2 linked regions of the Elephas maximus indicus genome follow. The protein of the gene in region 2 purifies or fractionates together with the protein of the main gene of each other region. This does not show direct contact. Links are inferred from orthologs where the notes say so. Each region holds a gene or a part of one and is shown on either strand. Other genes may lie near its edges.

Evidence for each region.
Region 1: the proteins of TMEM192 (region 2) and LAMP2 purify together in Homo sapiens (affinity purification with western blotting; 5 studies listed by BioGRID and IntAct, with this or other methods). This does not show direct contact. The link is inferred for Elephas maximus indicus from reciprocal best matches to the Homo sapiens genes TMEM192 and LAMP2.

The regions. Positions count from the first base shown.
Region 1 is NC_064846.1:36,114,408-36,124,239, forward strand, and holds the start of LAMP2 (lysosome-associated membrane glycoprotein 2), read left to right. Parts: upstream 1-5,552; 5' UTR 5,553-5,580; coding exon 5,581-5,650; intron 5,651-9,832. UniProt on the Homo sapiens protein: Lysosomal membrane glycoprotein which plays an important role in lysosome biogenesis, lysosomal pH regulation and autophagy.
Region 2 is NC_064839.1:60,352,528-60,361,902, forward strand, and holds the start of TMEM192 (transmembrane protein 192), read right to left. Parts: upstream 4,025-9,375; 5' UTR 3,930-4,024; coding exon 3,903-3,929; intron 1-3,902.

The sequences.
Region 1 (9,832 bases), on a different chromosome or scaffold from region 2:
CTGCAACAATTGGCTCAAGCATAATGATTGTGAGGATGGTGCAGGACCAAGCAGTGTTTTGTTCTGCAGTACATAGGGTCGCTTTGAGTCAGAACCAACTCGACAGCACCTAACAACAACAATTCAGTGACACTGATTACATTCTTCAAGTTGTATACCCATTCTCACTATCCTTTTCCAAGTCATTCTACCACCTTTAACATAAACTCGACACCTGCTAAGCAAAAACTCTAACCACTGATAATTAGTAACCGTTAATAATCTTTGCTTTCTCTATATTTTTTTCTCTATATTTACTATTTCATATAATTGAGATCATACATTTGTCCTTTTGTGACCGACTTATTTCGCTCAGCATGATGTTTTAGCAATCTGTGTTTTAATAATTCCTACAAGCGATTCTGATGCATGCTCAAGTTTGACAGCCATTTTGTTTAAGCAGAAAATTAAATCGCAGAGTGGGGGAATGAGAACAACTCTGCTGGGGAAAGCTAACAACTCAAAATGACATGTCTCCACTCACCCAGATATCTCTAGCTCAAGGGTTAGCAGCCTTTTGAGCCCACTATTACCTCTCTGAAGAAACCCTGGTGGAGCAATGGTTAAGCACTCCACTGCTAACTGAAAGGTTGGCAGTTGAAACCCACCAGCTCTTCCTTGGAAGAAAGATGTGGCAGTCTGCTTAGTAAAGATTACAGCCTTGGAAACCCTATAGGAGCAGTTCTACCTTGTCCTGCATGGTCACTATGAGTTGGAATTGACTTGACGGCAAAGGGGTTTTTCAAGTGACCTCTCCGTGGGGTTGAGCAATGACCTTACACTGTCCATGCTTTCACAGTTTAGAGGCATTATCCAGAAAAGAAGGAAATGCTACAGGAGGAAAAGAAAGAGATGAAGTGTAGGAAAAACTAAAAGGAGGATGGGGAGGGAGGAAAACAAGGGGAGAGAGAATGCAAATAAAACAATACAGATCAATAATCTTTAAACCTTAAATCTTTAAAACATCCCCTGAAGTCTTCTTAAAACCAAACAATAGCTTAGCTTAACTAGTAAAAAGGTCTGCCTTGAGCATTATGTTCTTTTAAGAACTATCTACATGGGATCAAATTGACAACAGCAACTTGAAAGATTAGATAGGAACCTTAGGGGGCAGTGAGTTTATGTTGATGGGAGGAACAACTCAGAAATAGAGGGTGAGAATGGTTGCACAACTTGAAGAATGCAGTCAGTGTCACTAAATAGTACATGTAGAAACCGTCAAATTGGTGTATGTTTTGCTTTGTATATTCTCAACAACAACGACAAAATGAAAATACAGATCATATGGTGGCAAGCAGATGATACCAATACTTCAGGGACACTCTTTCATTTATTCAATAAGCATTGGTTATTTTCCCATTTTAAATCTCTATACCTTCAAGTCCATTTCCTTCCCCAGCCCCCACAGTTCATTGTCTATCATTCATCGACTTTGATAGGGTCATTATTTCGTAAACCATTCAATGTGTTAGCATTTTGGGACCTGTTTAGTTTTTTTTAGTAGTGATCCCCCTGCTGTTTGGCCAAAGACTTATGAAATCTCAAAGCTGCTCAGAAGAGTCATAAACTACCTATAGTGGTGGAGTGTGAGGTGAAGATTAAGGAGTTCTGCCCACTGGAGAGGTATGAGCTCTGGTCAAGAGAGAAAGTGCATATAAATGCCCTCTGGACCCAGCAGTATCAACAACAGACTTGAGAGAGGGATGTCAAGGAGTTCCTCAAACACCAACCCCAGACCAATGTGTAGATCTGCCTCTATTACAAAATGTTGCATAAGATTTAATCTTAGAAAATTAAGAGAGTGATAAAATTTGTTTTTTTAATTTTTTTTCTTGAAAATTTGCAAAACATGAGGTAAAACATGAAGGGACCTGGTAATGACTGCACATACATTTTATTCTAGTCTCCATCTTCTTAGCCTTTTTATTATTTTTCATGAAACATTTTTCAAAACATGGTACAATGCATTCTTCTTTACTGCAAAAGCAGTACTTACAGCCCAAATAAATAAAGCCAAGGGACTTTTTATATCAAGAAAATTACCACTGCAATGCTTTCTTCATTACTGCAAAAGAAGTATTAATAGGCCAAATAAATAAAACTAACAGAATTTGAATCTCAGGAAAATTACTACTACTGTGTATTCTCATTAATACAAAAGCAGTACTAACAGCTAAGAAGCAGAAACAGCTGCCCTGGAATACTGCAGAACTGCTCACAGTGGTGCATGCCACCTGCTACATGTGGAAGCAATGACTGGACCCTAAGACTGAATGCAGAGTAGGAATAATTTACAGGAGTTCCAATCTCTTAAAAAGTACCACTTCAACGCATTATTCCTTATTGGAAAGGCATTATTTACTGTTCAGAAGCTAGAAAAGATGGAAGCCAGTAACACCTGGAAACAATGAATGGCATGAAGGAGAAATGGCCACTATGGATGAAGACTGGCAACAGCTTATTGTCGCAATAAGTACATTCTCATGAGAACATAGCAAGTGGGAAACATAGTGAAGAGGAGGCTTATCTCACAGAAATAAAGGCAAACCTGTCAAAAGTTTAGAAAATTCACACAATTGAAAGGCATCACCCTAACACAATGCTCAATCTACACAAAAACGAGGCTTCCACTCGGGATTTTTGAGTTTCACGCATTTCAAAAGGCTCCCACCTTAAGGATAAAGGCGTTAAAATTGGGCTATCCCCTTTCCAAAGAACTCCAGAGACCTAAAAAGTAGGTGGGATAAAATTTGTCCTATGGGTCTTGAAAGGGTTTAAGAACAGGGATCCATTGTCTTACAGTTCTGAGGGCTAGAAGTCCAGGTATTGATTGTGTTGATTCCTCCTGAGGGTTCTGAGAGAGTGACTGTTCCATGCCTCTCTCTAGGTTCTAATGGTTGCTGGCAATCCTTAGCATTCCTTTGCTGTTTGCTGATGTATCTTCACATGGTGTCTTCTCCCTGTCTCCATGTCTGTTTTCCCCTTGTATTAAGACATCATTCAGAAGGGGATAGGACCCACCCTACTGTGGTATGACTTTATTAATTGATAACAAAAGGATAACCCTATTTATAAACAAGGACTAAGGTGCACCTGGCTCAAGCCACGGTATTTTCAATTGCCTCATATGCATGCAAAAGCTGGATAACAACAACAACAACAAAAAAAAAACACAAAAAAGAAGAATTAATGCATTTGAATTATGGTGTTGGTGAAGCATCTTAAATAAACCACGGACTTCCAGAAGAATGAACAAATCTGTGTTGGAAGAAGTAGAGTGAGAATGCTCCTTAGAAGCAAGGATGGCAAGACTTTGCCTCATGTACTTTGGACATGTCCCGGGAGAAGGACATCATGCTTGGTAAAGTAGAGGGTCAGGGAAAAAGAAGACCCTCAACAAGAAGGATGGACACAGTTGCTGCAACAGTGGGCTCAAACATAGTAACGATTGTGAGGATGCCACTGGACCTGGCAGTATTTCATTGTGTCCTACATAGGGTCGCTGTAAGTCAGATTCAACTCAATGGGACCTAACAACACAAACAAGGCCACATTCATAGGAACAGGGGTTAGAACTTCAACCTATCTTTTTTGGGGAAACAATTCGATCCGTAACAATTACCATCTCAAAATGTCACTTCTTATTAATGGTGAGGCATTAAAGGACCTTTTGCTAAAGGCAGTGCCTAAAGTTGTAGTGAATATTAGTCCTGTATTGGGCAAGTCATTTACTCATGACTCAGTTTCTTCTATGACAGAAGACATACATTGCCAAGTGTTCTCACTTTCAGGAATTAATTATATTAAAACAAACTATAGTGAGGGTAGATCAAAAACAAAAAAACATTGCCATCGAGGCGATTCGACTCATAGAAACCCTATAGGACAGAGTAGAACTGCCTCATAGGGTTTCCAAGGAGCATTCGATGGATTGGAACTGGTCAGAGGTTGAGCTCTTAACCACTGTGGCACCAGGGCTCCAAAAGGGTACATTAGTGATTCTTAATATTTGAGTGTGGGGGAGGTAGAGAGTTACAGGTCCCATCTGAGAACTCATGAAAGCTAGAAACCTCCCCCATAAAAATAAACGTACATAAATGTTGCATGCAACTTCTGGGAAGTCAAAGACCCTCCTCCCAAGTCCATTCACAGAGGCAATTAAAATCCCCAGGACAAGATGGTTTTGAAGCTGTATTTCAGTGTTTCTCAAAGTGTGGTCTATGGGTGATAGGAATGAGAACCACTTGGTGTGCTTGTTTAAAAAGAGATCCCTAGGACTACTACATACCTACTGTTTCAGGATCTCTGGGGGATGATGCCAAGGAACCTGTGTGTCTTTAAAAAGCCCCAGGTGATTCTTTTGGAAAATAACATTTGAGAATCAGTACTTTATTCCAGCTTGAGGTTTTCGGATGCTTTCATTTGTTGAAGACTTTAGGTTTCATCCGTTTACCTGTCAAGTATATCAAACAGTGAGTTCAGTATGGTCTCATTAAAAATTTACATGTGTATATACATGTATTTTGAGATATATATATATATGTGTGTATAAACCAAAAAACCAAACCGGTTGCCATTGAGTCGATTCTGACTGATAGCGACTTTATCGACCTTATAGGACAGAGTAGAACTGCCCCGTACGGTTTCTAAGAAGCGCCTGGTGGATTTGAACTGCCAACCTTTATGGTTAGCAGCCGTAGCTCTTAACCACTAGGCCACCAGGGTTTCTATACATATGTATGTATATATATTTCTCAGGATGTTAACAGTGTTTCTCTCCAGGTAGTGGGATTATGGAAGATCTTAATTTTTTCCCCTTTATCCTTCTATTTTCTTTTTCTTTATTTTTTTTTTCCTGTATTTAAAAAAGGCTCTTCCTCTTTTTGGGTTCAGTTCTCCCAACTGAAACACAAGGATGTTGCAAGTAGATGAATTTAAAGGTCATGTCCTGCTTTGGTGGTCAGGGACTCATTACTACCCTCTAGCTTACTTGTCCATTAATAGCATGATCTGCATAGGTACTAAGTGCGTGCTCAATACAACCAAAAACCCACTGCCGTCCAGTCGATTCCAACTCATATGTATTACGTTGAGATGCCTGGCCACCGTTTTTATCCCAGCAAAATCATTCTCTTCTTTCTCAAGGAGCCATAACTGAAATAATCTCTACTATCTACACCCCGCCCCCTCCTGCAAAAAAAAAAGTTTATCCTCTCGCTATGGTTTTAAAAAAGGCCGTCCGCGCACATCTCTTATGAACTTAAGAATGGTTGTGAACCAAAAAGCCAGGGCTTCATCGCCCCGCCCCCCGGCCCTACCCCACCGCCCCTTCTCGACGCTTTCTAGAGCGGGGATTGGCTGAAGGCAAGAAAGAGCCCTGCCCTGAGTCTTATGACTCGCGCTTAAGCGCTGATTCCTGGCTCTGGCAGCGTCGTGGTCAGTGGTCACCGGAGCTGTTACCCAAGTCCCAACGAGCAGCTTCCTTGGTGTTGCTGCTCTTGTCGCCGCCGCCGCCGCCGCCGCCTCTTGGTTTGCGGTATCATGATGTACCGAGGCCTCCGCCTCTCCCCGGTTCCGGGCTTGGGGCTGGTTCTGCTTTGCGTCGTCCTGGGTGAGTTGTCAGGCCCGCCGGCTTAGGCTCCCAGCCTAGGCCCGGCGGGGCGTCACTTCAAAGGCTACAAACTTGAAAGACTGGTCGGCGGGGCGGGGTTGGAGGGGCTGACGAGCTGACACTGAGCGGCGGCGGCAGGCCCGGGGAGGCGAACAGTAACCTAGAGTAGGCCTGACCGAGGGGTGGTGGGGAAGATGGGCCCAGGAGAGTAGGATGGGGCAATAAGGGGGGGCTGGTGGACGCCGAGGGAGTGGGTAGAGAAGAGTGAGGAGGGGAGGAGGTCGGGGTAGAAAGAATAACTTGGAAGGATACTGAGGAGTGCGCGTAGGAGGGCGGTTCCTGCAGATTAAGGGGTGGTAGAGACAATTTGGAGAGGAAAATCCTGGTTTCCCAGGAGCAGGGGCGAGTTTGGGAGATGGTAGCGAAACTATGGAGTGGGTGAGAAAATTGCAGAGGGAAGAGACTGAGCCTGCATGGAGAAGTTTGGGGGAAAAGCTTAGGTAGGGGACAGATCTGAGGATTCAGTCTCAGGAGTAGGGAGGGGAGTGGAATGGTATTTGTAGGTAGGAATTTGAGGCCATGAAGGAAGGAGCTGAGGAATGATGCTGGGTTTAAGTTTGGTAATCAGAGCGTTTTTTTTTTTTGTAGTATCACATTTTTTAAATTTTTTAAATTTGCCTTTGAACAGCTAATTCATAACATTGTACAAAATTATCAGGAGGTGAAAATTTAGTAGGAAAAATATAAAAGTTATAAAAAGATATACAGGAAAATTAAGTCTCCCTTCCCTGTCGGTCCTCCAGCAACCCAGAGGCAACCATTGTTACTAGCTGCTTGTTATTACTTCAGAGATATTTTATGCATATGTATAACCAAAAACCCAAATGAAACCCATTGCCGTGGAGTTGAGCTCTTAACCACTTCACCACCAGGGCTCCTGCATAGGTAGAATAGTTTTTTTTAAAAAAAGAAATAATAGCAAACTATGTGCACAATTCTGCACTTCGCTTTTTTAGTTAAAAATCTATATTCTAGAAACTGTTCCCCAGCATTATATGAAACTTTTCTCATTTGTTTTTTCTTGTTGTCGTTATTTTTTTCTAAATTTTATTTTGTTGTTGTTATTGAGAATATACTTACTAAACATATACCAATTCAACAGTTTCTGCATGTATAATTTAGTGACATTGATTGCATTCTTCAAGTTGTGCAACCATTCTCACCCTCCTTTTCTGAGTTGTTCTTCCTTCATTAAGGTGAACTCACCGCCCCCAAGGTTCCTGTCTAATCTTTTGAGTTGCTGTTGTCACTTTGATCCTGTATAGATAGTTCTTAAAAGAGCATATTGCTCAAGGCAGGCCTTTTTTTTTTTTTTTACTAGTTAAGCTAAACTGTTGTTTGGTTTTAAGACTTCAGGGGGTATTTTGGGTTTAAGCTTTAAAGATTATCTCAGGGCAATAGTTTCAGGGGCTCATCCAACTTCCATTGCTCCAGAAAGTCTGGAGTCCATGAGAATTTGGAATTCTGTTCTGTATTTTCCCCCCTTTTGATCGGGATCCTGCTATAGAATCTTTGATCAAAATATTCAGTAATGGTATCCGGGCATCATCCAGTTCTTCTGATCTCCTGGCAAAGGAGGCAGTGGTTCATGTAGGCAATTAGCCACATATCCCATATCCTTTTCCTATTCTTGACTCTCCTACTTCCTCTATTGCTCCAGGTGAATGGAGACCAATTGTTGTGCCTTGGATGGCACTTGCAAGCTTTTAAGACCCCAGGCACTACACAACGAACTAGGAGGTAGAACAGAAGCACTAATCATGTTATTAGGCCAGTTAGCTGGGATGTTTCATGAAACCATGACCCTAAACCTCTAATCCAAGGAACCAAATCCCATGAGGTGTTTGGTTACATATAGGTAGAGTTTTGAGGATGAAGGAACCTAAGGTGGTTGGGGCAATTTTGAGGCAAGAAACTTGGACCCAACTTCGGGAGACTAAAGGAGGAAGTGGGGAGTGAATTTCTGATTTGGATGTATTGAGGATGTTGTTTTTCTACCATTTTTGCTCCTTCCTCCCAGCCAGACCCTGACAAAGAAATCCCCCAGATGCTTCACTTGGGGAGAATCTCCCAAATGTGAGGTTTTGCGGGTGGTATATTTGCATCTTGTATACTACCTCCTTGCCTTCCGAGCCTCTTTTTTTCTTCTCCCTGAACCCATAAGTAGCCTATTACTTTGGTTTGTTTGTTTTTTGGGAGGGAGGATAGGTAGCTTCCTAAGGACTGAGTTGTTACCAGGTCCTAAGAATGACTGGGTGAATGTTGGCTGATTGTGCTGTGCCTCTAAGTGGTGCCCTAATAGCTCTAAGGCCTGAAAAGTGAACTTTGACCAGAATATCTCTTCCCGACTGGATCATCCCATGCTTGTTGCTACCCACTGGCTCTTGCTATCTGTGAAATAATAAAAGAACAGAAGGAACAGACTGAGATGGGAGTGGGGAAGAAACAGGCATATTAGGGGTCTGAGAAGGCAGTGAGAGGAATACAATTTGTAATTCACATTTCTATAGGATCAAATCAACACCCTACAACAGTGCTTCTCAACCAGGGGATAGTTGGCAATATCTCAAAGCGTTTTGAGTGGTCATAACTGGGGTGGGGATGGCTTCTGGCATCTAGTAGGTAGAGGCTAGGAATGCTGCTAGACATCCTACATGCACAGACCAGCCCGCCCCCCCCACACAAAGAATTATCCCACTCAAAATGGCGGTAATGCTGAGGTTGAGAAACCCTGCCCTAGAACCATAGCATTGGAAGGGTTCTTGATTATCTAATCCCATGATTCTCAAAGATCTTTTTATGGGGTCTGTGAGAGCAAAACTATTCTCAGAACAAAACTAAGAGGTTATTTTTTTCACTCTCACCCGTGTACGGTGGAGTTTTCCAGAGGCTATTTAATGTGTGGTGACATCACCACGCGGATGGCTCTGATGTTCTTGTGTTTTATGAATTGCTCAGTTTTAGTCTCTGATGTGGTAAATATCGGTAGATATAACACACAAACCACAGCTCCTTGAGGTCGTCATTGGATAAGAGTGTAAAAGGGTCCAGACACCAAAACATTTAAGAGTCCCTGATCTAATCCAGCTGTCCACACAGTGCAGGAAACTTCTGTAGCATGTCTCCAGGAGGGCCAGGGAGGCTGTGCTTGAATGCTTAATTCAAAGTCTTAACTCTACCATGAAGCACTTACTGAGGCCTGAGTGACCCTAAGAAAGGATTGTTTACAACAGAAAGCCCCTTATCAGTGACAAGAACGCATTTGACGAAGGCATCTGTTAATCAGTAGTTCACTGCCAATTTGTGCACAAACACAAGGCTGCTATTGTTTAGGGAAAGTAAAAAAAAAAGTTGTCTTATTTGTTGGCTTTCATGCCATTAACCTTTTTGATTATTGTGGTAAATATATGTGTGACAAAGCATTTGCCATTTCAACATTTTTTACATGTACAATTCAGTGACATAATTAAAATGATGAAAGCTTTTTTGTTTTGTTTTAGAAAATCAGTGCCAGATCATTGGAGGAAAAAAAAAAAACAGGCAAAAAGATGTGCATAGATGAACCCATCAGCTAGCTCATCTACTGGTTTGCCATTTATTGATTGGGACTAACTAGATTTAGCCTCTTGGAATATTCGTAAGACTGATTCCTTCCACCTCCAAGTTCAGAACAGAATTTGGAGGAGTAAATGTTCATAATGTATCTAGATCAGATTTTTAACAGGTTCCAGGAGAAAACAGACCATCAGGGTGGACCTCAGAGTCTCCTTATGTTGCTTTTTAGAATTCAGCAGGTCTTCAGTTGCTTGGTGGGTTTTGCATGTTATTTTTACATATCAAAGTGGATACCAAGAATAGGTTTTTGAAAACTTAATAAATATTTATAAGGTACCTGCTATGTACCTAATAACTGCCTGGGTACTGTAGAGGGTACCAGTGAGCAGGATCTGTCCTGAATTTATAGTCTCATTAGTAACTTGTGCTCTGTGTGTGCCAGTTTCGCTTTGTAACTCTATCCCAGCTCCATTGGTAATTTTTTAAAAATAGCTGCTGTAGAGTTAAGTATAGAAAGTAATTCTTAGAGTCTGTGTATTGGCCTTCTTCACAGAAATTAAATAATGC
Region 2 (9,375 bases):
CAGAAGCAGATCACCAGACCTTTCTTCAAAGGGGCCTCTGGGTGGTTTCAGTCAACCTTTTGGTTAATTGTCAAGCGCTTAACTGTTTGCACCACCCAGGGACTACAATCCCTAGATAGTTTCCTAACTAGTATGCCTTCTCACACCACAGTATTATTATTTCTGTTTTCCTCAAGAATCTTCTGCCTCTAGCTCTCTCTCAGTCAGCAGATGTGCCAGTCTCCATAGCTCTTCCTGTAGCTGATGTCTGCGCACCCTTCCAGGCCCAGCTGAGGTCAGCTAGCTTTCCTGGGAACTTCAGATCTAGATCATACCCACAAAAGCAGGGACAGAAGCAGTAAGTACAAACTGAGGAAGATAGGTACCATGCGTTCCAAAGCATTCTGTGCTCACCTCCTCTGTCTCCGGGTGTCCTTGGGTGGTTTTCTTACTAGTGGGGTATCTGTCTTCCCAGCTAGAGCTCATTAGACCCACTAGCTACCCATCTCTTGCCTTCGTAATCCTAGCACCCAACAGTGTCTCATGATCAACACTCAGTGAACACTTGCTGAAAGAATGGATGTCCCAAACCTGTCCTTCCAATGTCCCCTAACTCGGTTACGGGCATCACCAAAGACTTGGGCTAAAATCTGAGAATCATCTCTGACCAGAGGCAGTAAGCACTGTAGTCCAGGGTCACGCCAAAGACAAAAAGCTGGTTCAAAGACAAGATCTACTGCTTACTAGCTGTGGGCAAGTTACTTTACCTCTCTGTACCTCAGTTTCCTCATATAACAAAGAGGAAGAATAATAGCACCTGCTTCACAGCTTTGCTGGGAAGATTCAATGAGTTAATCAGAACAGTACCGCGCGTTGTGAGAAGGCAAACTAATCAGAAAACTATCTAGGCATTGAATAGCAAGAGTTGCGGAGCAGCACCAAATACCTGAGACTGGAAATTGAGGGACCCACCCCAGATCTGGATCACACCCAGATTATTGCGTTTATCTTTGTAATCCTTACCTCTGCCACAGCCTGCAAACTCTACGGCAGTAAGCTGAGGCAATCGTAGAGCCCATCTGTTTGTTTCTGATCTCTGAGATCACTGACCTTCGTTAGCTGAAGTCCAACATCTTTACAACTTGATTCATACATTTTGTGTGTTCTTTGGTGGTTTCAGGCAGCAACCATCTTGGCCAGGGGTGGAAGTCCCTCTTCTACATCTCTAAAACAACTTCCAATACTAAGCATAAGTGTTTCTATTTTAAAACTCCTATAAAAAGTACCTCACCCAGACGCCGTCAAGTCAGTTCCAACTCATGGGGACCCTGTGTGTGTCAGGCTAGAAGAGGGTTCCACAGCATTTTCAAGGGCTGGTTTTTCTAGGCTAGATCACCAGGCCTTTCTTCTGAGAAGTCCCTGGGTGGACTCGAAGTGCCAACCTTCTGGTTAGCAGCCAAGTGTGTTGACCATTTGCACCACCCAGGCATCCTATAAAATTCACTGCCCCTATTATTCTTTTGGAATATTTCGTACGCTGTCTTGTATTGTTTTCTTTTTTCTGGGTACCTCTTTAGCTCTTCCTGACTACACTGAAGAGTATGAAGACCATAGTATGGTTTTCTCTCTGTCATTTATTAGATGTTCAGTAAAGAAAATGTATGTGCTGGACATATCAAATATACAGTTATATAGATCCTATAAGAAATATCTAGCATAACCATGGAAATGGCACTCAGTCATTCTCTGTAACTTATCACCTGCAAGTGAAAGCTGAGAGGAAGAGGACTCCTGAATGCAGAAGTATTCATCATGGCACTATTAATAACTACACTGTCACCTGCAGAAGACATCTGTTGTTTTTGCCCACATGGTATCTCTTCCCTCTTCTTTTATGACAAACTTCTATTTGCTTTGGGGACCTACCCATCTACCTCTGCATTGTCTCCCTGGGAACATTCTTCAATACCCTTCACTCTTCTCTGGCCTACATATGGTCATGGAACCAGAGAGGATTGTGCCAATTGAACTCCTGTGAGCAACAAAGCAAAGAGAGACCATGGCTGAGGAGGATTAATTTTAGGACCAAAAGACCAAACCCAACCTGTTGCCACTGAGTAGATTCCCAATCACAGTGAGCCGATAGGACAGAGCAGAACTGCCCCATAGAGTTTCCAAGGCTGTAATCTTTACGGAAGCAGACTGTCACATCTTTCTTCTGTGGAACAGCTGGCGTGTTCAAACTGCAAACCTTTCGGTTAGCAGCTGAGTGCTTAACCACTGTGCCACCAGGACTCCTTAATTTTAGGACAGAACCCTGAAAAAAAAACCTTTCGTCGCCTAGACCTCGTGACCTACCCTGGTTTAGGTCCTTTCAGAGGTCTAGTTGTTAATCTACCCTGTAATCTTTAACATGTATTCCTTTCTTCCTTAAACTAGCCAGAACTGGTCCCACTGCTTGCAAATAACAAACCATAATTAAAAGTCTTTGGCTCTTTTAACTCATTTATGTGTCTGGGCCTACTACATGGCTCAGAATTTTTAGGTTTTTACTGAATGCTAGAAATCACATCTATAAAATACGAAAGCAGTCAACTTGCTCAGATCTAAAGTTATTTAGCTACATAATTGTTGGTAAAATATTAATCTCCAATGGTTTGATGAAACAGATTTCTAGGGTTAGTTATTATAAAGTTAAAAGTTACAGATCCAAGAATTCTTGGACATCTTTGCACCAAGAAGCACTTACTGCCTCCTTTTTTCAAAAAACTCTCTCATTTTCCTCTTATTCATTTTTTCCATAAATTTTTAGCTCTTGAATCTCACCCTTAAATACTCAAATATATCGGATTTTAAAAATATACATCTGTGAATCTCAAATCTACTTCAAGGTCTTACAGTTAATTTTCCATTCTCTCAAGTGAAAAAAAAAAGACATTTTTAGTCTTACCGTTAGAAATTGTTCAGTTTTTATTTGCTCAAGATGATTTCGCTATAGTCAATATTTCACAAGAATATAAGGTCTTGCAGGCTGGAATCATGTTTTCTGCTTGTCTCATTCAGGGATGGGGTCACAGTAGTATTCCGATTAATTTATTAATCCAAAGTGCCTTAATGTAACCGTCATCTTTACATTTCTCAACGGCAAGTATTATTGTTACCGGCCAACGGGCACAAATACGTGCACCTCCTTAATAATATCTTAATACAGTTAAGCAAAGAAAAAAGATTTTTGCAATTGTGTACGACCCTGTATTATAAAAAACCACTGGGTTTTTCAGTTATCTGGTTTGGATTCTTCTAAGTAAGGAGATTTTTGTAATCTTTTTACTCCTACCATACCTAGATTCAAAATAGCACATGACACTGTTTTTCTCCAGTGTGGGCGTTCACAGTGACAGGTCTGCCCGCGGGGACGCTGGCGTCCGGCCCGCGCCTAGCAGCCGCTTCAGGTCCACAGTTTTCCGGAGCCCGGGCTGGGGACCAGGCAGGAAAGGGAGATTCGCCCCCTGCGCCTCCAGGAGCGTCTGAGGGCATCCGGGGGCCCAAAGACGCACCCCAAAGCAGGACTGTCAGGTCAGACGCCCTATCACGTGAAGCGCCCAGTTCCGGAATCACAGACGCGCGCGCACGTGGGCTGGGCACCGGCCTGGGGTCTCCAGGTTCCCGAACCCACCGCCCGGAAGCCAACCCCGGCGTCCACCCGGAGAAGCCGTGAGCGGCGCGGGCTGCGCACCCCTCGGGGTGGCCTGGCGGCTTCCCACCCAACGCAGCGCCCCAGCCTGGCCGCGGGCGCGGGCAGCACCCCTCCAGCCGTGACGCCCTGGTTGTGGTAGCTTCCCCCGCAGTCCCCGCCCCGCGCGCCCCAGCACAGGAGGAAGGGGATTCCCGGGGACGGCCGCTCGCCACTTTCGTGCACTCACGTCCTCCGTCCTGCCTGCCACCGCCATTTCCGGACGCCCGAGGCCGAAGCCCGGGCCCCGAGGGCCGCTCCACCTGCGCCGGGCGGAGGAAGGTCGCCGCTCTCAGGGACCTGTCGGCCCCGCCCCAGACACACCCCCTTTGCCCCGCCCCGTCTCCAGGGGCGTCCGGGCCCCACCTCCTCACTCCCTATTGGATGAGGGCGGGAGATGGGCGTGCCCGTCCCGCCCCGAAGGCCGGAGCTGTAGGCCGGAACCAACGCCCGGATGGCCTCGGTTCCTGGGGTTTCTGGCGACTTCCCCTCCTGTCGGCTGCTCGCCGGAGATCGGGGAGTTAAGGGCACTGAAGGATGCGTCCCTAGTTCAAGAATTTAACTCTTTTCAGCCGCCACTTGCCTCATTCTAAAAGGTTACATTTTTTGGTCTTAGTTTTTGTTTGCAAGCAGAGATCCATTCGTAGGTGGAACCAGCAGTAGAATCCCAGGAATCCCATTTACTTCCTGAAAGGCCGCCAGTAGGGAACTAGCAGAATAAAGATTCTACCTTCCATAACATATTTACGGGTTTCACCGATGGAAAATGAAGGAGTTCGGAATTTTTAGTGCTTTCGTTTATTTTTAAATGGAATTTTAAAAAAGGAAACTTTGGTATTTCTGATAATACACAATCGTTATAAAAATGTAAGCAAATAAGGAAAGTAATATTTTCCGTTAATACCACCTCCCCCACCCCAGAGATAACCCCCATGCCAGCTGGGGTATATACACTTGCATAGTTTTTAATACTTGTGTGTACATTATGTGTAGTGTGATCCTGTTTATGCCATTGTTGAAATAAACCCATTCAAATCTTAGCGAAGAAAAAGATGGAGTAATAAGACTCTGTGACCTTTAAAGTCTCATAATCCTGAGATTCTGTGAATTATTTCTGAAGAGCGTATTCTAGACACATATTTCCCATCAACATTTAATTTTGAAAAATTTCCGGCCAACAAATACTGAAAGACTAGTACAATGAACACCCATATACCCCTCACATTGATTTGCTAGTTGTGAACAGTATGCTGTATTTGCTGTGTGTGTGTGTTCACACACATTTTAACGGAACCATTATTTTATTTATTTGGAAGTTGAGGACATTATGAAGCTTTATTCCCAGATGAAGTTTTAGCATTATTGCATAAATTTTTGGATATTTTTCCTATGTATCACGATGTCATTATCATACCTAAGAAAATTAACAGCAATTTCATATTTATTAATAAACAATCCATGGTAAAATTTTCCAAATTTTTCCCAAAATGTCTTCTTTAGCTGCTTGTCTTTTCATTATTATGTCCACACATGCATTTTAATGGATATCGTGTACTGGTTAAAACCAGAGCTCTGGAGTTAGTCACAGAGATTTGAATTCTGTGTCTTTCTAAGGATGTGGACTTGGGCACTTTACGCTAAGACCCAGCTTCCTCATCTGTAAAACTGAAACAGTTAATAGTTCCAATTCATGGAAATTTTTGGTTGAATAATACCTGCAATGCTCTGAGCACAGTGTTTTCCCTGCTACCAACCAACCCACTGACCTATGAGTCCATTCTGACTCATAGTGACCCGATAGGGCAGAGTAGAACTGCTCCATAGAGTTTCCAAGGAGTGCCTGGTGGATTCCAACTGCTGACCTTTTGGTTAATAGCCATAGCACTTAACCACTATGCCACCAGGGTTTCTTCAGTGCTCAGCAAATACTGCTTTTTTAAATGAAGTTTGTTGAGGTATGGGTAGTCCTCAACCTATTCCAGTTCCGAGGAACCACGCTTAGGACCATCTGTTTTTTCGTTGTTGTTTGTACATCCTAACTTCAGGATGTACTACCTACAATGTTGCAGCACAAAACTTGTTGATGTTATCATTCTTAGATGTTCACTCGCAGAGGTTCAATGTTATGATTTATTGTTCAAAACACTGCCAGTAGAAGGCTATGGCAATAATGATGAAAACTAAAAAAAAAAAAAGTATTCGACTTACGTCAGAACCAGCTTCTGCAGAGTCGTTGGAACAGAACTCCATCGTAAGTCAAGCACTACTTGTATTATTAACAACTAGTCACTGTTTTAATAATACACTAAAAATATTACATTATTCAAATGGTTCAGCAAATTCTTTTTCCAGAGGTTAACATTTTTCAAAATAAAAATGGGGGTAAAGCTGATGGTGTCCTTGATAGGCTACATGACTTGCTTACAGTCAATGGTAGGAATAATCTGTGATCACCCAGTATAAACCAGAAGTGAGCTATGGTGTCAGGAAACAGAATTCTGAACTTTGCAAGGTTCAATAGGAGGGCAAAAAGCATTGACAATAATATAAAGATTTTGAAAGGGCTGGTGGGGTCAGTGAGGTTCAGGGTAGATCATATGCTTCAGTTTGACACCTTGGTTTCCAGGAAACAGGGTGAGTGAAAGAAAAGGATGCTTTCTGGAAAGACAAGGGAGACTCCAGAAAGAAGAAGGGGAACAGATTCACCCTCGTCTCACCACTTTGCTTGTTGTTGTTGCTAGGTGCCCGTTGAGTCGGCTGTGACTCACAGCAACCTCATGTATAACAGAATGAGATGTTGCCTGGCCCCGCACCGTCCTTACAATTGTTGTTATGTTTGAGACCATTGTTGCAGTTACTGTGTCAGTTCATCTCCTTGAGAGTCTTCCTCCTTTTTCCTGACCCTCTACTTTACCTAGCATGAAGTCCTTCTCCAGGGATTGGTCTTTCCTGATAATATGTCCAAAATAAGTGAGACAAAGTTTTGCCATCCTAGCTTCTAAGGAGAATTCTGGCTGTACTTCTTCCAAGACAGATTTGTTCATTCTTCTGGCAATCCACGTAAATTCAATATTCTTCACCAACTCCGTAATTGGTGTCTGTCAATTCTTCTTCAGTCTTCCTTTTTCATTGTCCAGCTTTCTCCATGTTTACCATAACAAGGTCAAAAGTTAGAATTAAAGGGATATAAAATTGCCAGCTAAAAGTCATTGATATTCATTCTCAAGGAACATAAGCAGAAATAACAGGTTAACTACAAGAATATGGTTCTGTGGAATTCTCAGAAATGTACCCCCTAAAGTGTGTTTTTGGATAGTGGGGCAGAAGGGAAGATCACTGCTTATGGAGTACTGAGTTTCAGTTTACAGTGATGGAAAAATTGCATTGATTAAGGGTAGGATAGCACAGCTGATTATTGTTTAATTGTTGTCAATAAGTTGTAAACCTGTAAAATGTTGAACTGTCAAAAGTTGTGTGATAGCTATAACAATGACAAAAAAAAAAAAAAAGAGTAGTTGCTGAGGCTGCTTATGTACAACCAAACACCTTATGCAATTTGATTTCTTGGTTTGGAGGTTTAGGGTTATGGTTTCGTGGAACATCTCAATTAATTGGCCTAATAACATGCTTAGTGCTTCTGCTCTACAGCCTAGTTTGTTGCATAGTGCCAGGGGCCTTAAAAGCTTGCAAGTGGTCATCCAGGACACAATGATTGATCTCCATTTGCCTGGAGCAACAGAGGAAGAAGGAAAGTTGGGAATAGAAGAAAAGGAATGTGTGGCTAATTGCCTCCGTGAACAACTGCCTCCTTTGCCATGAGACTAGAAGAACTGAATGGTGCCCAGCTACCATTACTGAAGATTTTAATCAAAGATTCTATAGAAGAATCCTGATCAAAAGGGGAAAAATGCAAAACGGAATTTCAAATTTTCATGGAATCCAGATTTCCTGGAGCCATAGACGCTGGATGAACCCCCAAAACTTTTACCCTAAGATAACCTTTAAACCTTAAACCAAAATTATCCCTTGAAGTCTTCTTAAAACCAAACAATGCACTTTGAAGATCTATCTATATGGGATCAAACTGACAACAACAATTGAAAGATTAGAAGGGAACCTTAGGGGGCAGTGAGTTTACATTAATGAGGAGGAACAACTCAGGAGGGTGAGAATGGTTGCACAACTTGAAGAATATACTCAGTGTCATTGAATTGCACATGTAGAAGCTCGAATTTGGTGCATGTTTTTTCTGGGCATATTCTCCACAACAACAACAACACATTTTTTTTACAAAGGTATTTTTGTAGAAATTCTGACACAGATGATATGTATCAGGAATTAAAACTTCAACCTCACTAGGAAATATTAAAATTATATGTCCATAATAATATTTTAGTGATTTTCAAAGCAATTTAGGTAAGCATAGCCCTGTAATGAAATTATATTTGTAAATGTTTGATATTTCTTTTTTGCATAATTAAAAGCTTTTCGGTCAAGATTCCTGAATCTTGTTTACATATGAAGAGTAAGGGATGAATTGGAGAACTTTTTTTTCTACCAAATGGTTCTCCATGAGATTTCAGTTTAAAGCTCTATCTTTCCTGCAAGTGCTGTTACCATCAACATTGTCCCAAGCACAGTGCTTAGTTCTGATCACAGATATTAAAATGCTAATAGTATCTCACTGATTTTTCCCAACATCAAAATGAAATATATCCTTAATTCACTGTAGTTTCCATTATCTAGCCTACCACACCTAGTATCATTTACTGTGCAAACAACAGTGCTTAATTCCTTATTTATTTTAAAGAGGGATTTCTTCTGCTACTCATTGATTTCAACTTGCCTTTTTAATCAAATTTTAGATTGACTTGAGCCTACAGTTCTCTGAAGCTTTACTGCAGCTTTGTCAAGAACGCACATATCCCAAATACTGGCTTTGGGTAATGCCAAGTCCGGTAGCCAAGTCTCTCTTAGACATCCAGAAAGATGGTATTGAGATTTTCCCTATCAGTGAACAGATAAAAAAAAGTTAAGGCAACAGTTATTTCAGTGTATCGAATTATTCTTGGTTCATGTACTTTTTCTAAGAAGGAAGAAATTTAAGAATATTGTGAACAATTAGAAATATTCCAAAGGTTCCATTTATTTCTTCCATAAATATCTATGTCTTTCAGATACAAAAAAATCCAGTTGTAACCAAGCATTTCAAATTTGAGCGAAAAAGGTCTATTAGAGGTCCTCAGGTCCCTATGACACTTTGGACTCATTATCCAACACCTCTTCATGTGTTATTGGCTTATATCCTCCAAAATTCTTGTGCTTTCAAATTCTGACATTTAAAAATATCTTGGTTTCACTGACTAATTCAAGAGTGGGAGAACAAATTATGGTAAAATTTCTAAAAATAAATATGTGAAATTTAAGACCAAAAACAAATTGTCTGTGAAAGTTCTTAAGAAACACGATATAGAAACTCAGGATGAAAATCAGTTTGTAACCTTTATGAAAATCAAGGCCACAATTTAGTTATCAAGGAGCTGATCTCACCCGACCTGTACTCACTCCTGATTCTACTCTAATGCTAAGTACCAGGCTCTGGATCCAGCCAAATCAACATACAGCATTTTCATGGGAGGATGTCTCTACTTCAGAAATAAATG